Caenorhabditis elegans: one gene and its partners. The protein of the gene in region 1 purifies or fractionates together with the protein of each later gene. This does not show direct contact. Each region holds a gene or a part of one and is shown on either strand. Other genes may lie near its edges. The genes, in order: ugt-7, srrt-1, R11G1.1 and mltn-5.

Evidence for each region.
Region 2: the proteins of ugt-7 (region 1) and srrt-1 fractionate together in Caenorhabditis elegans (co-fractionation; one large-scale study listed by BioGRID). This does not show direct contact.
Region 3: the proteins of ugt-7 (region 1) and R11G1.1 fractionate together in Caenorhabditis elegans (co-fractionation; one large-scale study listed by BioGRID). This does not show direct contact.
Region 4: the proteins of ugt-7 (region 1) and mltn-5 fractionate together in Caenorhabditis elegans (co-fractionation; one large-scale study listed by BioGRID). This does not show direct contact.

Annotation. Positions count from the first base shown.
Region 1 is NC_003283.11:4,996,501-5,002,345, forward strand, and holds ugt-7 (glucuronosyltransferase), read right to left. Parts: upstream 4,067-5,845; 5' UTR 4,059-4,066; coding exon 3,849-4,058; intron 3,776-3,848; coding exon 3,616-3,775; intron 3,228-3,615; coding exon 3,138-3,227; intron 3,088-3,137; coding exon 2,822-3,087; intron 2,771-2,821; coding exon 2,538-2,770; intron 2,491-2,537; coding exon 2,348-2,490; intron 1,039-2,347; coding exon 548-1,038; 3' UTR 521-547; downstream 1-520. Other genes in the region: srr-8 (Serpentine Receptor, class R), read left to right, coding at 5,186-5,216, 5,263-5,432, 5,477-5,757.
Region 2 is NC_003279.8:4,130,638-4,135,759, reverse strand, and holds srrt-1 (Serrate RNA effector molecule homolog), read right to left. Parts: upstream 3,261-5,122; 5' UTR 3,260-3,260; coding exon 3,192-3,259; intron 3,137-3,191; coding exon 3,044-3,136; intron 2,999-3,043; coding exon 2,768-2,998; intron 2,603-2,767; coding exon 2,433-2,602; intron 2,378-2,432; coding exon 1,270-2,377; intron 1,214-1,269; coding exon 903-1,213; intron 856-902; coding exon 698-855; 3' UTR 523-697; downstream 1-522. Other genes in the region: dph-6 (Diphthine--ammonia ligase), read left to right, coding at 353-430; let-504 (NF-kappa-B-activating protein C-terminal domain-containing protein), read left to right, coding at 3,568-3,639, 3,697-3,758, 3,950-5,122. UniProt on the Caenorhabditis elegans protein: Acts as a mediator between the cap-binding complex (CBC) and the primary microRNAs (miRNAs) processing machinery.
Region 3 is NC_003284.9:3,657,646-3,662,522, reverse strand, and holds the start of R11G1.1 (EGF-like domain-containing protein), read right to left. Parts: upstream 3,032-4,877; coding exon 2,962-3,031; intron 2,917-2,961; coding exon 2,794-2,916; intron 2,750-2,793; coding exon 2,624-2,749; intron 2,361-2,623; coding exon 2,247-2,360; intron 2,079-2,246; coding exon 390-2,078; intron 338-389; coding exon 240-337; intron 193-239; coding exon 36-192; intron 1-35.
Region 4 is NC_003280.10:13,923,538-13,931,135, reverse strand, and holds mltn-5 (MLt-TeN (mlt-10) related), read right to left. Parts: upstream 5,928-7,598; 5' UTR 5,846-5,927; coding exon 5,800-5,845; intron 3,997-5,799; coding exon 3,807-3,996; intron 3,758-3,806; coding exon 3,606-3,757; intron 3,554-3,605; coding exon 3,322-3,553; intron 3,151-3,321; coding exon 2,895-3,150; intron 2,687-2,894; coding exon 2,432-2,686; intron 2,382-2,431; coding exon 1,854-2,381; intron 1,178-1,853; coding exon 620-1,177; 3' UTR 540-619; downstream 1-539. Other genes in the region: hot-3 (Homolog of Odr-2 (Two)), read left to right, coding at 155-263, 323-488.

The DNA of each region.
Region 1 (5,845 bases):
TTAGTAAATACACACATTCAAATAATACAAGGAGATCAGTAAATTATGTTTGTTTTTCAGATCAACAAGTTGAGGTTCGTCGGAAGTCGGTATGGCATTTTTTTAGGTTTGTTTTTTTTGTGTTCTTCGGTGGGTTTGAAATAAAAATGATGTTCAGTGAGTGGTGGAAAGGAATTGAGTTACACAAGTTCAAGTAAATATTTCAATTAAAACAATGATGTCTTATGGAAAAAATGGGATTCAGGGAACCCAATAACATGAAGTAAGTATCGGTAGGCACATCGATATGGAGGAAAGTAAGCGAGTAGGCAGGCACGTAGGTGTTTGTGAAGGTGTTACTTGTCGCTACTTGCTACTTGCTACTTGCGCTGTGTTGCCCGCTATCGCCTGCCAAAAGAGACCTAAAAAACCAGAGTGGCCCAAAAACGGCGACGATTTTCATGACAGCTCTAATTGTTCAATTTTTACATTTTGGAAAGCTTATGACATAAAGAAATTGGGCCAATATGGCTGAGACCATAATAAATTTAACTATTTCATTTTCAAATCATTCCATTTTCGATTTAGACCTAACCGAACAAATAACGTAAGTTATCCAATAAACAAACAACGCAGACAACATGAATAAAATGAGCAAAGTAGCCACAATATCCAAAAAGAAGAATTGAAAGAAATTGAGATGCCTCGAGTATGGATCAAGTTCGGGAAGTTTCTTGAATTCTGCTGCAAACTCGGCATGCTTCACAAGTCGTTCGATTGGATTAATTGGTTGTTTTTGAAGAAGATTGGATAGCTTTTTGGCGTTCGCCAGATATTTTGGATTTTGAATCATATTTTGAATAACTTTCTTCAGTTTTTTAGCATTTGAAAGTTCAAATTTCGAATAAACTTCGGCTCCGCCATGTCTTCGAAGCATTTCTCCATTCATCGGCTGATCGAAAAATAGGGGAATCACAATTGCTGGTTTTCCAGAATACGCAACTTCCATAATACTTCCAAGACCGCCATGAGTAATAAACAGGGAAACACGTGAATCGGCTGAAAGATACAAATGAATTAGAGAACTTTGTTGCCTGTTCTTGTAAATATTGACAGGTGTTTGAGAAATCGTTTTCGCGCGTTGAAAAAGTGCACAGTTATACTTTTACATTTTGGTTTCGGAGTCGAACTGAATTTTTGAACTTGAAGTCACGGTTTTCAGATTTAGAGAGGGAAGTACCCCCTCAAATTATTTCACTAGGGGAGGATGAAAGTTGTTCTTCTATTTTCATTTAAAAAAGGTTTTTATTATAATATTTGGCCTAAAGTTATGAAAACTTAATACATCTTCCAATAAAAAAATGCAAAAAAATCATAAAATCATATATATGCCTGAAATTTAGTTTTTTGATTAAACTGAAAGCTTCTGGCACCTAGAAAAATTTTTTAATTAAATTCTGAAAGCGCTTGAAATTTGAAACAAGTCCCCGAAGAAACATTTTTAAAAATTGTTAAATTTCAAATTGTGCACTAAAATTTATGAAAATCCACTTTTTCTTCTTGAACTCAGCGGATATGAAACTTTTTTCAAATGCTAAAAAACTGAAGGAAGTTATTCAAAATATGATTCAAAATCCAAAATATCTGGCGAACGCCAAAAAGCTATCCAATCTTCTTCAAAAACAACCAATTAATCCAATCGAACGACTTGTGAAGCATGCCGAGTTTGCAGCCCTAAAAAACCAGAGTGGCCCAAAAACGGCGACGATTTTCATGACAGCTCTAATTGTTCAATTTTTACATTTTGAAACGTTTATGACATAAAGAAATTGGGCCAATATGGCTGAGACCATAATAAATTTAACTATTTCATTTTCAAATCATTCCATTTTTGATTTAGACCTAACCGAACAAATAACGTAAGTTATCCAATAAACAAACAACGCAGACAACATGAATAAAATGAGCAAAGTAGCCACAATATCCAAAAAGAAGAATTGAAAGAAATTGAGATGCCTCGAGTATGGATCAAGTTCGGGAAGTTTCTTGAACTCAGCGGATATGAAACTTTTTATGGCTACGGGAATTTTGAAAATAGTTAGTTTGAAGTCAGATATTAATTTTTAAAGTTAAGAAAACTAAATAAATCTTCCAATAAAAAAATGCGGTCATATATATGCCTGATATTTAGATTTTTTTTTATTGAACTGGAAGTTTCTGGCACCTAGAAAAATTTTGTAATTAAGTTCGGAATGCGCTTAAAATTTGAAACAAGCCCCCGAAGAAACATTTTTAAAAAAGTTCATTTTAAATCAGTTTTTAATTTTTAAAGTTTAAAATCGACCCCAACAAATTATTATGCACCTACCAAGTAATGCTGGCTGCGGTAACCACTTCATCAAATGTACATTTTCTGGAATGTTTCCCCTCATCTCTTCATCTTTCTCGTCTTCATACTTCCAGATGAATGTAACGTCTGACATCAATTTTGTAACTTCAATTATTGCATTTCTGAAAACTGCTCAATATTTTCAGAATTCAAATTAAAATGATCGTACTTGTATTCTTGTGGCATATCAGCTGATCTGATCACTGATCCAAATGAAATGAAAACGGTGTTTGGTCGTTTTTGAAGAATATTTTTCAAATTTTCAGGCAAGTTTTCAGATTTCCAATTGGTAGTATTCATTGAAAATCCGCCGATCGGGACACATTTCGTGAGAGATGGAAAGGGAAAATCAAGATATGGATTTGAGTTGTAAAATAAGTATGCACTTTCGGCCACGATTTCCTGGAAAATACATTTTACTTTGGTTTTCAGCAGAAAATAATGCTATCTTACATCAATATTTCTGATTTCAAGACCAGTTTTAAATCTTAGTTTATCTAAAAGATTCCAATAAACTGCTCGAAACATTCGAGTTCTCATAAAAAACATCCAAACATTGTTAATACGATCCCAAACACCAGACTCTTCGCCATACTTGCTATCTGGTCCAGGTATAAAGTTTAGACCGCTAGGCTGCCCCAGAGCCCACTGAACTGGGTCAATTCTAGATGAAGCCATTGCAACAATGGTTGATGGAATTTTTAGATAGTCTCCAAGATCTGAAAATGGGTTATTTCGCTGGAAAGGAAGAGAAAAATTAAGCACTTACAAAGACCACAAGGATCAAATGGTTCCGCAAGTAAAACATCAAAATGTTCTGATTTTAGCATTGTGTGAAGAGATTTGTCTTCGAAAACTTCTGAAAATATTGCAAGTTGGAAAAAAAAATACAGGAGTCCGAAAATATTCAGAAGCTTGTTCAAATTTTTTAAGTTTACTCAAAAACTGGACAAAATTTCAGCCTGCCAAAAACTGGGCATATTGCAAAGTTAAGTCAGAGTTTCAGCAACTTGTAAAGCATTTCAGTTAAAAATTTAATAATTTTCAAGAAGTACAATGTAAATTTCTGAAAAAAACTGTTAGACAACAAGATGAAAATGGGATTTTTTTGCGGAAAAATGTGCTTTATTTAGAAATGTTTGTGACAAGCGGCATTTATCCAGAAAATTCCAATTAATTTTTCTGATGTTTTTAATTTGATTATTGTGAAGATATTCCTCTAAATTAATCCGAAAAAATATACTTACGTAGACACATATGCTCCAAGTCCTTGCTCATCGCCTCTGCAAACTGATCTGCCGCCGATGGATTTGCGGCCTGATTGGTAGTCCAATATTTGGTAACTGAACTTTTCGGGCGGTTACGGTAGAACTCTTTTCCAGCAGTGTTAGCTTCATAGTTGATAATCTGAAAACGAATTGATATATTCTTCACCTTTATTTTAAACATCCGTACGGTTTTTCAAACCAAAGACACTCACTTTTATATCTGGATTTTTGATAACTTTTTTATCTCGCAAAGCTTCAACAATTTGCTGTTGAAATACAACAACTTCATGCCCATGATCTGCAAGTGTATCAGCAATGTTACTCATAAACTTCACATGACTGTAGCTGTATATTGGGGAAATAATTAAATATTTAAAAGCATAAGAATATTGCAAGAAAAAAGTTAAGAACACGAGACGCATGGCGAATAAGAAAAATGACGATTACTTTTTAGGCAATGATGATAAAGAAACGTATTATCTTATCATTAAGAAGTTCAGAGACGGAAGTTACAAAATCAACTTTTGGAAATTGTTTTTTTAGTGCCAGCTTTCCTAGTTCACTGATGACTCATTACTTTCAGTCATAGAAAATATGCACAGAAAGTTTGCTCACTTGCTAGGATTGAATGACTTGCAGGATATAGAAATCTATAAATAGTAAATATTGAAGAAAAGTAAATTTTTCAGCAATGTTGATTTTTCAGCGTATGAATAATAATTTGGACCGAAAATTGTGACATGGAAAATGGAAAACATTCGGTCAAAAAATTTGAATTCTTTTGAATAAAAAACTAGTTCTCGAAAATTTCTAAAAATCATTCCATGTCTATGAATTTTAATAAAATCAATATGAACCATTTATTTTCGTTAAAAAGTGAGTTGAAAGTTCATTCAAATATACTTCATTTCTGATTTAAAATTTTATATACAGCTAAATTTTAGCTTAAAAAAATAATATCACTTCTACAGTATGTGCATGCAACTTACAAAACCGAAGTCGAATTTGATTTTTAATAGGAGTTCTATAAAGGTCAAAAATAATCAAATTTATTTCAAAAATTTTGAGTAGTTTCGAAAACATTACTCGTCCCCAAAAAACTAAAAGCAAACAAAATATTGGTCAGCACAACAATGAGGTGAAAATATTTAAAAGCCGAATTGTTTCAATTCTCAAATTCTCGAAACATTCATTGCTCACAGAGCGTCGCAATGAAACAACCGCGTGTATTATTAAAAAACTATCTCTCAGGTCATATCACCAAGTTGAGTATCTATAATCTCCTTTAAAATGACTCACAACCACAACGAATCATACAAAATGTACCCAACATTTTTGTCGTGGATCTTCCTGGTATGTATTGCAACTTATTGGTCGCTGCTCCCTACGTCTGCGTCTCTTTGGTTTACTTTCCGTCTGCTCCGTTTTGTATGATTTGTGCTAGCAGGCCGAGGCTTATGAAAACAATTCAACGAATAGATATAAAGGTTGGAAAATTTTTGAAAATAGTAGAGTTTTCAAATAAAACTTTAAAACATACACAGTAACAATGTCAACTCTTCCTGTATCTTCCTTCGATGGTAATTCTCAGTTTCTAGTTTTCAAAGTACTATTTTCCATTTTCAGATGACACACCATCTGACTTACTTGGTCCATTCAGATTCCTGGTGAAAGCTTCTTTGCTAGACTGCTCCACAAAATCTAAGTGTTGTTCTGTTTTCACATGTCTTTTGGGAGTTGTTATGGTTGTGGTAACGCTAATAAGAATCTCATTTTTAATGGAAGCAGTTGGAGCTGTAAGTGTGCACTGTATATAAAAATTAAATTAACTTATTTACAGCCGTTAGAATTAGGATGGGGAGAAGGAATTTTCTTCGGGTATCCTGGTTTAACTGGATTTGTATTTTCCCTATGCCTTTTTGGATGGACTAAAAATGGTTTGATCCCAAAGTTTTGCAAGCGACTGGTTCGGGTTCGAATGTTAAGACAGGCGGCAAACTCAAAATTAGATAAATTCCGAATCCTACATGGTCTTGCACTTGGCTTCTCAATTCCTTGGTTTGTAGCAATGATGTCTTGGATAATTTACAATTTTGTTCATGGAAAAGTTTATTATGGAGGGTAAGTGAGTTCTTTGAAAATGTTATCCAAATCATCGTCAAATAAAATAAAATTGTAGCAAACAGACAAATCGTGTTTTTTTTTCCTA
Region 2 (5,122 bases), on another chromosome or scaffold:
GGTGCAACATATTTGGCGAGCACAATATCGTGTAGCGAAAACTACCGTAATTCTTCAAATGACTACTGTAGCGCTTGTGTCGATTTACGGGATTGATTTTCGAAAATAATTAAAATTCTTTATTTATCGAAAAAATATAGAAAATTATGTGAAGAAACCCTGTCACTATTCGAAAAGAAATTAATCTCAAAAAATCTAGCCCGTAAATCGACAACAGCGCTACAGTAGTCATTTAAAGAATTACTGTAGTTTTCGCTACGAGACAATCTGCGCGTCAAATATGTTGCGCAATACACATTCTCAGCTCCCGTAATACTTGAAATCCAACTTTCAACATTCTGTATTTTTCCAGACAGTAACCCACCAAGATGATCCCATTGCTCCTGTGTTCTACCTCCGACTGAAAAAGATGCACTTGGAGGACAAGTGAGATGGGAAAACATGTACTTTTGTTAATTTTAAATGTTATATTTACTTTTCTTGTTATGATGATTGTTTTCTAATAAAAAGTTCCGTTGAGTTACACAGAATCATATTTCATTAGGGACGTATTGAAAATGGAGCGTTTTTTAAAAAAGGAGATTATTATTGGCCATACAAAAACATTTAGTTAAAACTAATATTTAATTGAGAAGGGGGAAATAAATAGCATAATTTGTTGTGCATATATTTGAATTGGATTCAACGTAGGATGGAATTATGGAATATCATCTGGAGCATCCAAATCGCGATACGAGACTGGCTGACGACGTGGCGCATCCTCGAAGTAGCGTCCACCACCACCTCGTCCACCAAGTGAATGTCGAGGAGGGAATTGGGGACGACGATCATATCCTCCACCGCCAAAAGAGTTTCCTGAAAATTAATCATATTTATGAAATTTCAAGAGTTGAACAACTCACTTCCTCCACCACCAGGTCCTCGATCATCGTCTCGTTCTCTTCCATATCCACCTCGCTCACCACCACCACCTCCACGATGATCATCTCTTGGAGCTTGTTTGGGCTCACAGTCGACTGGTCTTTGGGCGTCGGCAAGATAATTGTTGAAAAAGTCAGCTTCTGCTCTCGCTTCCTCCAGCTTGTCTTCATGTTTAGACTGCAAGTGCTTTCGGATGAATTCAGGTCCCTTGAATTTCTTTCCAGAAAGCGGACAGAGCCATTTATCCTTTGCCAACTCGACAGTATTCTTTTGAATAAAAGCTTCAACTTCCCTGAAAATTTGGGTTTGTTAAAAATTATTTTTAAAAAAGCAAATTTTTTCACTTACTTTTCTCCATCCTTCTTGCCCATTTTCTCCAATTCTTCCTCGCTTACATACTGCTTTTCAATCAACCCTTTCTCAATGCGGCTATTGAATCCCGAAATAAAATCGTTCACAAATTTCTGTGGAACGACGAGAGCTCCATCCTCGTCAGTAGTGATTGATACTCCAGAAGGCGGCTGCCCACGAACGTGAATCAAGCCACATCGATTCGGCATCGAATCTTCCTGCGCATAATGTCCGTGATTATAAAAATCGATGGAATGAACAATGCGAAGGTAAACGATGAGAAGATCGAGAGCCTTCAGGATATTATCATCGCGCTCAAACCGAATCTTTTCAGCTGGTGCTTCACCTCCATTCGAGACTCCCAATAATTCAGCTTCCTCTTCACTAATATCATTGAGAACATCATGTGGAACAAGTGATTTAACTTCTTTAATCAACGGATTCGTTGAAGCAGCGACTAAATCAACGCCCATACGAATATCCATCTCACGATCAGCATCAGCTTCATCAGCAGCGTTGAACAAACCAATCTTCTTGTCATAAAGAACAGTGAGCTTGACAGCAAGCTTCAGATCGTTAATCGCAACTTGCTTATGAGATGCAATCCCATTATTGGTACGAACACGACGAGTAATGTCACGGTTGATGATTGCATTCAGATCAGTTTCTCGCAGACGATGTGCGTTGAGTGCCCAGCAGATTTCTTTGATATTGATATCTCGCTTGAATGTAGCCCATCCTCTTCTGTAGAACTTTCTTTCGGCAATTCCATCGGTCAGAGCAAGACGTAAAAATCCTGGGCTCTTTTTACAGAGACCCTCTAGTTCCTCATATGTGAGACCTGGTGGGATATTTCTCAAGAAAACCGAGCAGGTTCTGTGGATGTTGACCTTGTTCGATGACTTTTCGGTTCCATCTTCAATGGCTCCCTCTTCCAACTCTTCCGTTGCTCCGGATTCTTGTTTTACTTCTGGCTCTTCTTTCGGCTGTTCGGTTCCATTCCCATTCTCGTCTTTTTTAATGTCAGCGAGTGACTCGTCTTCTAGTTTTTGAGCCAGAACAGCTTTCAACTCGTCTTCAGTTCCATTTTCCAGCTTGACAACAACTGAAAATACAACAAAATTAAACATATATTCGAAACCTTTAAAAACAAAATCTACCTGAATCTAGCATTCTAATGATTGCCTCCGCATCTCCGAAATCCAGAGAGAATTTATTGAATTGTCCCTGCTCCTTCAACTCATTGAAAACCTGCAAGCGCTTCTGCACATTTTCCAAATGCGCCTCTCGCAACTTCTTCGCATCATCCGGTTTGTATTTAAGACGGAACCTGAAATAGATGTTGAAAAATTAGAACTCAAGATATTAAAAGACAACGGGTATTGGAACAAAATGTGAATGGCATCCGTGCCGAGTGAAAAATTCAAAGATATAACCAATCCGTTGACCGCGGCATAATGCGCCTCTGGTCTTGAAAATCGAAGCTGAAATTTACCATTCTTCGTCTTTATGGGCACGGAAGAACCGTTCAAGTTGATGTTTTCTATGTTCTGTCTTGTACTCATTATATTTTTTGATAGCATCTTCTTCCGAGATATCATCTTCCTGGCTAGTGAGGAACTTTTTGAATGTTTGAAGTGGTCCCGAATATATGGAATCCGATTCAGTGGGTAAATCCGAACCATTACCAGAACGACTTACGGGATCGAAACTGTCATCTGCGTCGCTGAAAAAACATAGATTTTCAACGTAAACAAAAAACGATACTAACTCTCCACGACTCCGCTTTACTTGGTAATCATCTCTTCGTCCTCCAGGACGCTTGTTGTCATAGCGATTGAATCCGCCTCCACCACGGCGATAACTGAAACAGAATGAGTGATTTTTTAGTATTTGAAATATAATAGAAAGAAACTTACTCCTCATCACGACGTTCACGGGCGAATTTGTCACGGCGGCGATCGCCATCATCATCAGAGTCCACCATTCTGTAAATAAGAATTTATTTGATAAATTGAAGTGATTCAGAAGAAATCAAATTTATTTGGATCAAAATAAACACATTTTGCGAGCAGAAAATGCAGAAAATCACTGAAAAATATGCTAAAGAACGCGCAATGTTTTTTTCCAATTTGAACGCTGCACGCCGCACGGTTAAAGTGGGCGGAGACTTGCTCGGCAACACCGCCGCGCAGAAATTCTGTTCTTTTTTATCTCCAGTCATTTTCGAAATCATTTTTTTATTGAATTCCGGAATTTTTTGATTGCGCGCCGATTTCTACTTCAATTCACAAGATGAGTGATATTTCTTTGGATTATGAAGGCAGTTCAGATGATTCACGAAGTTCAAGATCATCGTCGAGAGAGGTACTTTGCCGTTTTGCACGTTCAAAAAATGTTATTTTCATTTAAAATTACTTTTAGAACAGAAGAAGAACGAATAGTGGCAGCGGGGACAAAGACAAACCAATGTGGAAGTCAAAAAGGTGAGTTTTCAATCAATTTTTGCTTAAAAAATACAACATTTTCTCAAACCAGAATAGGAAAATCGCGCTTTTTAAACTTGGATTTTTTCGATTTTCTTTTGTAATATTTCTAAATTTGAGACTACTTTGGATTTTCTGAAGCGAAATTTACGTTTTTTTAAAATAAAAATAATTATAATTTATAATTTCAGAGATTCCTCCAGAAGTAGTCGAAGTAGAAGCCGTTCAAGTTCCGAATCAGACTCCCGTTCTCGATCTTCAAGCCCAGTTGTAAAAAATTCGCCTCCAAAACGAAAACGAGAGCCAATTCGTGCTCCGAGTGCCTCACCGCCACGAAGACGTCGTGATGATTCTCCAAGAAAACGAAGCCGATCTCCACCACGTCGTACTCGTCGTAGTCCTTCTCCACCAAGACGTCGTCGAATTTCAAGGAGCCCAGTCAGAAGAAGCCGATCTCCACCACGACGTCAAGTTTCCAGGAGTCGATCTCCTCCTCCGAGAAGACAACAACGCTCAAGAAGTCCACCACCAGCAAAACGTAGACGAGATCAGAGCCGTTCAAAGTCTCCACCAAGAAGAAATTATAGACAACGACAACGAAGCGGCTCGCCGCCTGTTAGAAATTGGAGGGATGAAGAAGAAAATCGTAGAGCTGAAATGTGGTCAAAAAGACGTTTCCAGCGAGTTAATATCCAAGCCGATGGCCTGAATAACATCTGGGGACATTCGCCAACTCATGAGGAGATACATGACACTTATAAATTGAGAGTTGCGGCTGAAGAGATTCAAGCAGAAAATGAAAAGAAACGAGAAGAACTGAAAGAAGATAGAAGGAAGGAGAAGAAAAGAGAAATGAGAGCAGTTAGAAATGTTTCTGAAGACGATTCTTCGACATCTTCTGAATCGGAGGAAAGTGATTTTGAACAGAAGAAGAAGAAGAAGGTGAAGAAATCAAAGAAAAGTAAAAAGGATAAAAAGAAGGAAAAGAAAGAGAAGAAAAAGAGCAAAAAGGCAAATAAGGAGAAAGAAGAGAGAAGAGCTCGTCGTGAGCAACGAAAGAAAGAACGTGCTGAGCTGAAGAGAAAGATTAATAATCGTTCTGATACTGAAGAAGAATGGGAAGAAAAGCAGTCTGAAAAGATTGTTGGCACGATTGGAACATGGAAAGAAGGAAGTATGTCACCGACGCCAATTCTCCCAGAACATATTAAACAACGTGATCAAGGTGGTGGTTATGATGTTGAGAAGCCCGGAAACTATGGTAAAGATCTACTAAAAGGAGAGGGCGCCGGAATGGCTGCGTACGCGGCTCGCGGAGAACGTATTCCACGACGAGGAGAAATCGGTTTATCGTCTGGAGAGAT
Region 3 (4,877 bases), on another chromosome or scaffold:
TTACATGATATGGTTTATAAGCTGTGCACACTCACCTTCTGCAGTCAGATTCAAGTTTCCAGGCTCCCCGAATGATCTTGTCGTTAACAATCGATCGATCTCTTGCAAAGTGCAGTCACTACATTGAACAATAGCAACTAATGCAGAATCATGTTCCGCCGAACGAATGCACGATTTATAAGATTGACCAATCTGCAAAAACTTCCAATATGAAAAATAATTGATACCCACAAATCTACCTTTTGATGTAAAATCCGCTGTTTTTGCTCAAGCGATGCCTTATCTGTATTACAAACTGTGTTAACCTTCACTTTGACAACCACCAATGAAAGAGTTTCTGAAATATTTTCAAGCAAAATTAATTAAAGCGATACAATTTTGAACAATACCTTCACATTGCCCGTTCCCAGTGTTTTTGAATTGGCCATTTGGACAATCACAAATTACCGATCCACCAGAATCAGACATTCTTCGGAGGCAGTCATCAACCTGTGGGTCACCTGTCTTCACTGTTGTTGTTGGAACACTTGAAGTCGATACCGATTCGAAGGTTGAACTGTTTTCGGTGACAATCGTTGAAGTACCACTAGATGGTGTTGGAGTCGTTTTCACTGTTGGACCAATGTGTATGACTTTATCTGATCCTGGTACAATTTGTCCTTCATGTTCTCCCAAATTTGTTTCATTTTCAATCTTCGTCGACTCATTATTATCGATTTCTTCAACAACCCCGTTTGGTCCAACATGAATAATTTTTGTTCGAGATGTAGCCTTCAAAGTGGTGGTTTTCGGTGTAAGATTTCTGTCTATCTGAGTTGTCTGAGCATTGTTTGTAGAAGGCGTCAGCAATGTTTTTTCTTCAATGAAACCTTCTGGAACTTTCGAAGGATGGGTAATATGGCTACCAGGTGTTGTGAAACCCCCTCCCGGTATTTCGAAACCAGAGTGAGGTGGTACTTCCGTTTGCACATACTTCTCAATTTCGGCTTGTGGGATCAGTGTTGGTAATGCACCATGAGGAGGATTTTGAGTTACGAAAGGTCTATGGGGTGACTGGGGAGTTGTGAAAAAACTTGGAATGGAGAGTGGTCTTGGTGTTGCGAAAGTTGGAAGAATGCGACCAGGAATTAATGGTATTAACGTGTCGGTACCGGATTTTTGTTCATCCGGTATTGTAACACCAGGATAAGGTTTTGTTTTTTCAGATTCCCATGGTCGGGTAACTGGGCGGAGGTCTACAGGTGGTACATTAGGAAACATGTCAAAAGGTCCTGGAGTTGTCATTGGAACACTGGGCCTAGTGAGCATGTCAAATGGATTCATTCCTGGTGGTTGCGATATTCCATCACCCGTGCCTCCTCCATACTCAAACTCTGATGGTAGATCTGGTTTTCTTGAAGTGACCGGTCGGCTGATTATAATTCCCGGTTTTATTGGTGGAATCTTTTCCGAACCCTCTTCTATAGTTGGATACGTAATCGGCGGAAGTGGGCCTTGATGGTGTGGGTCCGGTGTGGTAGTCACAATTGGAATTGGCCAGTTGTTTAGAGGTGAGGGCGCAGTGATGGGTGGCAAGTCTGGCCGTCCAGGAAAAATGAGCGGAGCCTGAGGAAACTGCGTCTGGCTAATTGATGGAATTGTTATAAGGCGAAATGTGTGAGATTGAGTGACAGCTTCTGTTGGAGGTACAGGTGTTGATGAATGTGTTGGAAAGAAGTCTCCTATTGGCTCATTTGGTTTGTGGAAGCCAGTTACTCGTGATATTTCGACACCGGATGGTTCAGGGAAGAAATCCCCAAGTTTTGATTCTTCACTTGGAAATACTGGGAAGTTACTCAACGGTGGTTTTGTATTTCCCAGCAGAGGAGATGTAATAAACGGATATTTTGGAGTAGTATAGTCTATCACAGGATTAGATGGCAAGGTGACGGTAGATGGTTTCGAGCACATTGAGCAACCTTCCACGTAGAGAGACGGGTGATCTTCCGGTGGTGGTGGTACTGGTTTTGGGAGATAGAGTCCGGATTGATTTCTGGCACATCTATAGGCGTGTTCAAGAGGCATCACATAGTTTTCGTCTGGAAAAACAAATTCTGATTTTGAACTCTCCAAATTTCCAGTTTAATCCACACAAGAATATTTCTTCAAACAATATTACAAACGTTAGTTCCAGAGAATAACACTACATACTATTGCGATCAAAAATTGTTTTTATCAATTTGCCAATTTTTTAAAAGTAAAAATACCTTCATCGCTGCCATCGTTACAATCCTTCTTCCCGTCTAACAACCATTCCCACAAAACACACTCTCCGTAACCTTTGCACGGAAATGACGTTTCATCCGCACATAGTTTTTCTTCTGAAAATTTAAAATTTCACTAACTTATTCCCGTATGTTTTTTCTCCCAACTATTGAGTATTAGCTGCAGACAAATGACAAAAATTCAGACAAAATAAAAATATTCTGAATTTTTAAATAATTGACATGCTCTATTAAAAACTGCCCAAAAAAGTTGGCAAACGAAATTCCATGGCAGTTTTCAATTGTTTAGCAGGAAGTTACTCCCTTCAAATGTCTAATATACTAATCGAGATTATTAGGTAAACCTAAAATGAACTCACTTGACGTAGAACACCATGGAAGTTGTTTTGATGAACCGTCACATTTAGGATAAACAATACATGGAAGTGCATCTTTGTAATCTGCACAATAAACTGGACCACAACTAACTTGACCGATGAAACACCCTAAACGTGAATTACCTTAAAATCATATTGCTTCATGTACTTACATTCATCGCTACCATCCATACAATCAGGTTTTCCATCTCGAAATTGAGAAATTGGAACACACTGACCTAACCCGCAATCATAGTCACCCAACATACAACGTCCTGGTACCCTCATTCGAATTGCTGAAAATTGGGACATGAAATTGAATTTTCTGAAGCTTCACCTACCATCATATGATAAAAACTGCGAAGAAGCAAAAATTGGAAAGACGACCAAATATAGACAGACGGTCAGCATGGAAAGACTGGAACTGGTTACATGTGTACTCTTGAGCAGACAACATCAGAATGTCTCACTCATCCAATTATGTTGATCTTTTCAATTGGGATCTGTAAGCGTTTGAAATTTTTCGAAACCTTTTTAAAATTTGCAGAAAAAAAATAAAATTTTTAACATCTCAAAAATTATTCGGATAAATATATATACTGGCATGATTGGGAGGCGGGTAATACGACAGGAAAAGTATAAGGAGCGATTAAAGTGCACATTGGAACAATTGGTTAGCAGTGTCCATTACATGAGCAATAATAGCTCTTTGGAATGCGTCAGTAACTATAGTCGGTGAGTTGAAACAAGAAAACACACGAAGATAGGCTGCGGGACAAGAAAAGAAAGCGAGCGCAACCTCCATTTCCGATCATTTTCCATCAATCTTGCTGAGTTCTTTCAAGTAAAGAACAAGTTTCGGGAATGAGTATAATTTTTTTTGGAAGAATGTAGATGGTATAAAAATAACTTTTAGTTGTTTTTACATTTCAAGGTGGAGCCAGTGGGGAAATTGTTGAAAACCACTCCGATCGTGCCAAAATGATCAAATATCATATTTAAAATTTTCAAACGTGTTTTGAATGCTTTCTTATAAAAACATTGTTTCAAAAGTGGTAATTACTTATTTTTGCAATGTTCTTGAAAGCGGTCGGAAAAAAATGTATCTTTGAAAATGTATTATCTAGTTATGTTTCAAGAATTGTAGGGATTCAAACATGCAGCAAAGCTATAGTTTTCTCAAAAAGTGGCATAAACTCAGTAATTGATAATAAAAAACAATGGTACAAAGTTATTAAAGTTTAATTAAACGCAAATAAATATCAAATTGTTAAATAATTGTAAAATCCCAATCTGACTATGAGAAGAGGTCAATTATGAACCATACAATATGAAATGCGGTAAATTTTATAAATTTTTTAATTTTTTAACAAGGAAAATATTTCAGAGGAGCTTTATAAACCAGAAAAAAAATTGAAAAATGAACAAATATACCTCTATTTTTGATAATTAGCCATTAACAATTCTTGATTAATTAAGAGAAAGTAATTTTTAAATGACCGTATTTTAAAGAAGTGATAGGGAGTTGAAAAAAAATTTAGTGAAGTGGTAAATACAGTACATATATTTTACGAACTTCCTAAATGGATGGACAAAGTAGAAATATCCAGAAATAGAGAGCTCAAACTATACTAAGAAAAAAATGAGCGCAAGGTCATTGTACTTGAAACAAACTATTAGTCAACACCAACAAAGAAACCATCTGAGCATGATTAACAAAGGAAAGATAACACATATGTGGTATTCGGCAAAAAAAGTATAGTTTTTGGTAAGTGGGCAGCAAAAGAATTGATGACCGCACGGGCGCTTGCCTTTCCTCCCACAGAGGTGCGCCTTTTATGCTCTTCCGTTTTGTGGTGGACCTTGCTTCTGACCACTCAGTCTACCTCCAATAACTCACTTGACCTACTCTTAAAACTTGCTTCATCTTTTTTTGCTACGTAACATTTAATAAATTACGTCAGTGAGCTATAAGAAATCAGTTTTCAGATCCAATAAATCTTATGACGGAGTTTTGTGCAGTTGTATTGCAACACTGGTTGACAAAAAGTATAGTCCGACATGAAAACTCAAAAAATGGCGATTCAAAAACTTAGCAACTTCCGGAGCAAGTTTGCATGCACACATATACATGAAATATTTTAAGAGAGTATAAAGTCTGAGTGGAAAGGTTTTTCTTACGGGGGTCGTGACAGGAAACGGATCCAACACCAAAAGTAACCAGAAACTTTTTTTAATTTTAGCTACTACTTTTTTA
Region 4 (7,598 bases), on another chromosome or scaffold:
CGGAAAACACGTGGAAAAGTCGTGACGCGACACGCAACGCGCAGTAAATCTACCCCAGCCGTGATCGACTCAAAATGGCCTAGTTTGGCAAGCTCTTACATTAATAAAACAAGAGGGCCGTGTATCAACTCTGAATCAAATTCTGAGTTTCCAGGTCAACCAACAGGACACCGTCTCTACATGCGTGGCTGCGCACTGACGATAGCTAGAAGAGGCTTAAATAATCATACGCTCAGCATGTTCGATAGATATGATATTTGCAGGTTTGTTTTTTTTTTGGAGCTTTCGACACTTGGCCTAGGTTAATCAAATCCATTTCCAGGGACATGTCAGCGTCCGACCTATTCAGCCACGAACACGCCGACTCTCAACGCATTCGGGTATGCAGTTGCCTTGGCGATCGATGCAATTCGGCCATCTCCACGAGCAATTGTCAATCGCTTTCAGTGTTAGCAATTCTCGTTGCGCTCTCCTCTCTGCTTTTTTAACTTTTTTTAACTTCCTATCAAAAAATCTCTCTTTCCACATATCTCTTTGTCATTTTCCCTTTCCGCATTTTCTTTATTGCTGAATAACAATTTTTGTTTGAAAATAAAAACAAAATCATTATTAATTATTACTAACTCAACCAACTTGGAGACGCAAATACCGTAAACATGGCTCCCTTCGACTCGATCGCCGGGGATAGAGCATATGGAGAGAGGAACAGACCTGATATGTACTGTGGTGACAGTACTTGAGGTGACAACACAAATGGTGAAAGAACTATAGGGGATAATGCGAGAGGTGTCAGGATGAGGGGTGTCAGTGCAAAAGGGGAAAGAATCAGCGGGGTCATGACTTGAGGTGATAAAATAAAAGGGCATAGGACCAAAGGTGACAGGATGAATGGATTGAACACCCCCGGCGATAGCACAACTGGGTCCAGAACAACAGGTGAGAGGATGATAGGGACAAACATAAATGGGTCTAGAATGACTGGACTCAAGATTCGAGGCGATGCTATAAGGGGGACAAATAGCCAGGGGGACAGAATGACGGATCCAAATATTGCGGGGGAGTTGATCAGGGGTACAAAGACGGCGGGAGAGAGGATGAGTGCCTGCGATGCTACTTCTGGAGCATTGATGAGAGCAGTATTGACGACTGGGGAAAGGATTATGTCTTTTTGGCGGACCTGGAAATTTTTGATTTTTTACGAAAGTGGCCAGAACTACAGTAGGAGTTCTTGTTTAAAGGTGGAGTACCGAAATTTGAGACTTTGCTTTTTAGACCCAAAATGGTCCAAAACTATCAAATTTCGTAATGAGACGCTCTGAAAATTTTTCAAAAAAAAGTTATGGCCGCTCAAAGTTTTGTAAAAATGGCCAATTTTTAGCTAAAATTTCAAATTTTGGCAACTTCTCGGTGTCGCAGCGGTTGGAAAAAATGATGATACAAGTTTGTGCCCGCATCGACCAAAAAAGCATCTCAGCCAACAAAATAACACGTAATAAAATGCCAAAACATGCAGTAAAGGATGACAATCAAATAAAAATTAAGTTCCAACCGCTGCAGCACCGAGAAGTTGCCAAAATTTGAGATTTTAGCTATAAATAGGCCATTTTTTCCAAAAACTTTGAGCGGCCATAACTTTTTTTTTCGGCACTCTACCTTTAATCGGCCAAATTTTGCTAACGTAGGCTACTCGTTTGGCCTGACAGTTTTGGAGTCCCATGACTTATTATAGAGCTATGCTGTTAATAAGTAAAGTTGGTCAGATCTCAGATACTAATCACACAAAACCCGAATGTCCAGATCAATCTACTCTACTAATTGTAAGTATTCTAAGTAAGTAAGGTAGCAAGTCTCACCTCAAACTTCAACTTTTCATCTGCCACATCCTTAATCGTACTGTGAATCGATCTATGAATCTCTGCCCTCGTCATATTCTTATAAGTCCTCAATAACTTTGGATTCTTGAACGGAGACTGTTTTCCGTACATCAGTTGCATTTGCTTCGGTGTCAATACAGTATACCCGGTTTGATTCATATCTTTCAGTTGTTCAATTGAATAGGTTTTATCCAACTTCTCCATTAACTCTATCTTCCTCGCTTCTGATGGAAATCTTTCTGTGATATTCTCTTTCGTAAAATAAAGTGGTTGACCATCAGGACCTCTTCCCATCGCATCATCTTTCTTTCTCTGAGCATCTATTAATTTGTGCTCAGCGTCTTCCACGGCCTCAGCTACTCCAGTGGCTTCTACCAGTAGATCTAAAAAGTTCTGGGTGTCGGTGTCAGTAGTGAGAGCTCCGAGAATTGAGCTAAATGAAGTCTTCTTTTCAAGTCCGGTTCCCGAGTTGTGCAAGGAGAATAGAGAAGGTGAGAGTAGTTCAATCTGCAATGATCTGTAAGATTCAAAATCACATCTCCTGAACATCCACCTACCGTATCATTCTTCTCCTTCTTGTCTTCAGGTAAAACACTCATAAACCGAGGGCTAATCATTTTGACAGACTTCTCATCAAAATCTGTGGTGTTATGACCGCTGAGCTCCAATCCAATTTTGGTAGCCTGTCTAATAATGTCAATTGGTACCATCATGAGTTTTTCGTCGTCTGCCATATTAGAGACTTTTTGATAGTAGAGGTCCTTGACGTCTTCGTCGTCGATCAACTTCTCCAGTTCAGGGTTGGATAAAGTCTGAAATTATTTTTGGATTGTCAGAGTTTTTGTCACTGTGGTAGAACTATAACTAAACACTAAGTAGAACAAGAGATTAACAGAGGCCGTCTGGTTGTACTGAATTATAAAAAGGGTAGGGTAGAGTAAAATTCTCCCCTCATAAAAAATTTATAATTAGAGTGATAATTTCAATGGTCTAAGTACTCCCATACTAAAATAAACTGACCTTCATAAATCCATTGTCCTGCTTCTTCCTCTTCATACCCGAACGTCCGATGCTCTCATCTGCTCTGACTCTCTTGGCTTCTTGAAACACTCTCAACCTCTTCCGCTGTATATTCTCTGCTTCTTTTCGGTTCTTCCAATCAATGCTCTTTCTCTGTATACGCTCAACTATCTCCTGCCATTTGGATAGCTTGTCCTTGTGCTTCAAGGCTTTGACTGTATTCTTGAGATGTTTGGTGATAGTTGCAAATGGGGATCTAGAATTTTTGAGTTGGAATCTTAGGAAGCTCGTCGAGAAATTTTCTAAGACTTGCAAAATGGAAAATGGGATATACATATATATATAGAACCACACGCATGTCACAAAATTGAGCAAAAGGGTCGTATGAATTTTTGGCAGTAGGTAGGCATGAGGTAGGCAGACTTACTTGTCATAGTCTGACTTCAATGTGTAGCTGTTTGCATTTTTGACCGATCGCTTTGCTCGCAACGTCTTGAATGATCCTACCCAATTTCTAGCTTTCACCGCTTTTCCTATTAACTTTCTATTGTTCTTAGGATTTTTAGAAGCTTCATAGGCTTCCATACTTCTAAGCTTCTTCAATTTATCTGGCTTCATTACTGTTTTTTGCGGCGTTTTTTCAATTGAGCTGCGGGTCTCTGAAATTGGACGCTATTTCTGAGCTTTCTCCCGAGTAACCGAGTAACTTACTTTTATCAAAGTACTTTTTTCTCTTAAGCAATCGATTTTTCAATCCATCACTCTCCAAATCAACGAGACATTTTGCATGACTAGTGATATCATGAGCTTTTGAAGAGCACTTTTCATGCTTTTTCTTGTCATATTTCTCCACTAATTTTAACCTGAAAATTACGGAGCTTACTAGAGATCAGAAAACCAGAAACCCCTCACCTCCTAGTAGCAATTGCTGATATGAGCCCTGAAAATGCTTGATCCGTCCAGTGCTGCCAAAGTTCTGCTCCAGACTCTTTGGAAATTGGCAGGGAGAGTACCTTATCCTTATAGTAAGGAGAAGCTTTGATATCCTTAGCAGTGAGGGTCACATTCAATTTTTTCTCCAAGTTTAATGCTCCATGAATTTCTGTAAGATCCGTATTTCTCGAGGTTCATCGCCATCAATCTGTCTGCCACTATTAAACATTTACGACCCCACCGCTTTTATGACTGTGTACATAAACGGAGCGACGCTATCCGTCGATAAATCAGTTGGGGATGCTGCGCATTTCATTTTGATCGCGAGGAGTCCGCGCGTGGAATTACTTATTTTATTGAGTTTTAATTCATCAAACTACACATGAAAATTGAGGGGGATTTTGAAGCGCCACATAGTTCGGAACACTGCAACTTTTTCCTCACGAGGGACGAGGGAAAGTGGTTTCTAGGCCATGGCCGAGGGGCCGACAAGTTTCAGCGGCCATTTATCTTGCTTTGTTTTCCGCCTGTTTTCTTTCGTTTTTCATCGTTTTTTCCCGTTTTTTCTTATTAAAACTGATAAATAAATATTTTTTGCAGATGCTAAGACAATTTCCAAGTAAAAAAATTATGTATTCAGTGGGCAAGCAGCGGTGAAAGTGGGCATTGTAATATGATGGATTACGGGAATACAAAACCTAAACTTTTTCTGAAATATGATACATATGCTGCTTAAATGCTGAGACTACCTGATTTTCATAACGAGACCGCTGAAAAAGTTTTGAGGTTTCCAAAATTCAACTTTTTTGGTGAAAAAGTCGAGATTTTCGCACAAAAAGTTGAATTTTGAAAACCTCAAAACTTTTTCAGCGGTCTCGTTATGAAAATCAGGTAATTTCAGCATCTAAGCATCATATGTATCATGTTTCAGAAAAAGTTTAGGTTTTGTATTCCCGTAATCCATCATATTACAATGCCCACTTTCACCGCTGCTTGCCCACTGAATACATAATTTTTTTACTTGGAAATTGTCTTAGCATCTGCAAAAAATATTTATTTATCAGTTTTAATAAGAAAAAACGGGAAAAAACTGTGAAAAACGAAGGAAAACAGGCGGAAAACAAAGCAAGATAAATGGCCGCTGAAACTTGTCGGCCCCTCGGCCATGGCTTAGAAACCACTTTTCCTCGTCCCTCGTGAGGAAAAAGTTGCAGTGCGGAAGATCATTGAAAAATTATATCACATTTTGGATGCCTGCGTGCGTGCCTACCAGGCGGCCTTATAGGCAGGTTTTTTCTACGAGAAATCGGAAATTACCAACAAAAAAAAGTTGAGACTCTTCCATTCCTAGAAGTGAAAATTTCGAAAAATATCAACAAAAAAAGAAAGATATTTCAAAAGTCACTGGAATTTTTATGAAGCTTCTGAAATATTACAGTTTTGACCCAACCACCCTCTAAAACTTTAAAAAAAATTTAGAAGCTTTCAGGCAAATTGAAAGTTTTTTAGAAAGATATTACTCAGACGCAGAATTTTGCGATTTTTGTGGCCGGAGTACGGTGCCCGGTCTCGACATTCTAAATTTTTGTTAAATACAAAAAGGTTTGCGTTTTTAAATATTACTGTAATTTCAAACTTTCGTTGCTGCAAACAAATTTATCAACAAATGAAATGGAAAAGCAAAAACGCATGCATGCAAAAACTACGAAAAATCTAAAAATTGAAATTACAGTACTTTTCAAAGGCTTATCGTGTCGAGACCCAACACCTTATTTTGGTGCAAATGCGTATAACTTTATTGGAGAAAATTATCGGCAAATTGCCAGAATTTAAATTTCCGGCAAATCGGAAAACCAGCAAATTGCCGAAATTGACAATTTCCGGCAAACCGGCAAGTCCGCAATTTGCTGATTTTCCGAATTTATCGACAAAGATAATCACCATTTTACATTGATTATTAATATCCACTCACCTTTCCCAAACATCAGCATCACCACCAGCCCTATCCTCACCATCATTTTGAACCAGGAAAAAGAATAATGAAGATCAAATGATTGGATACACTTTAGGAATCGGTATCAATTTGTTCCGGAGGCGATAAAAGGATCATAGACGACGCCGCTAAACTTCCTAAGCCCGGGGAACAAAGCACGCCTTCTCCGACATAAAAGTGTTGCGGTTTTGGATTTTACGGCAATTAGGGAAAATGAAAATGAAAATGACACTGATTTTTGATTTTTTCGGCGGGAGAGGAAGAAAACTCTAGTTTGAATTCGAATTTTCCTCCAAAAAAGGCCATTTTTTCAAAAACTTTCAAACATTAAACTAGGACTTCCATGAGGTCACCGCCGAACCCCGAACTTGTCGGCCGCTTCCAAAGCTTACGCACTACGTTGCGCACACACCAAGCTAGTCGTTTCACGCCAAGCTGCGGAACCCTAAACGTGTCGGCCGCTTCCACACACAGCGGCGTGAGGCCCGCATTTCGCGTCTTACTAATCTGGGAGCCCTACACTAAACCATTAATGAAATGTATTTATTAGTTACCCATAGTAATTATACAATTTTTCAGTTTTTCTCTCATCTAGCTAAGCCAGCTCGGAGATGCAAAAACCGTCACCATTTCACCCTTCGACTCAATCGCCGGCGACAGAGCATACGGGGACAAGATAATTCCAGTGACATACTGGGGTGATAACACTTGTGGAGATAACACAAAAGGTGATAAGACAATTGGGGATAATAATAGTGGAGTAAGGATCAAGGGAGTTAGAGCGAAAGGAGAGAGAATTAACGGAGTCATGACTTGAGGGGACAATATAAAGGGGCACAGAACCAGAGGTGATAGGATAAAAGGATTTAAGATCCCAGGGGACAATATCACTGGGACCAGAGCAAGGGGTGATAGAACGATTGGAGCAAAGAGGAATGGGGTAAGAACTACCGGGCTCAAAATTCTGGGGGAAATGATTACAGGGACAAATACCCAAGGTGATAGGATGACTGCGCCGAAGACTGCTGGAGATTGAATCAAGGGTACAAAGAGAGCCGGGGAGAGGATAAGAGGCTGAGATGTTAGCACAGGGTTGTTGATGATTGGGGTCAGAACGATTGGGGAGAGCACGATGTCTTTTTGGCGGACCTGGAAATATAGTGTGATGGGTTTAGAGTAGGCTGAAATAATTGTCTGTTTAATATGATAAATTTAAATTAATGCTTAATAATTTTCAGTTATAAGATGAGATATCTTGCAAGGTGAGGCACAATTCTTGTACCGCATTTCCAGCAGCATAATGTGATAGAAATAATCAAAGTTGCTAGTCTAAGTCTTGCCGAGCTCGGCAAATTTTAAAATTTGCCGCACACATCAAAAACTTGGCATTACAATTTTGGCCAAAACTGTTGATTTTGGCCTCAGAAATTTAGTAAAACGCCACAAAATTGGATAATTTTGATGTTTAAGCAGACACACCACACGGAACTTAATCAGATACCAGAGAAACCATAAAAAAGTATCGAATGTGCCGAGCTCGTCAAATTTTTAGATTTGCCGCACCCCTGGTCTAAGTGTTGCGTAAAACGTTTGATCTAACTCTTACCAATCATTTACCAAATATTTTTTTGTACTAGCATATTTTCAATTTGAAATAAAATTGGGTTAAACTTCGGCACGATATAAACCATAAGTTTGGCGCCAATTTTCAGGTTCTGACTAATTTCTTCTGGAGCAAAAGTTACTATCTCCATTGATTGTAGCAAAAAATAATGCTA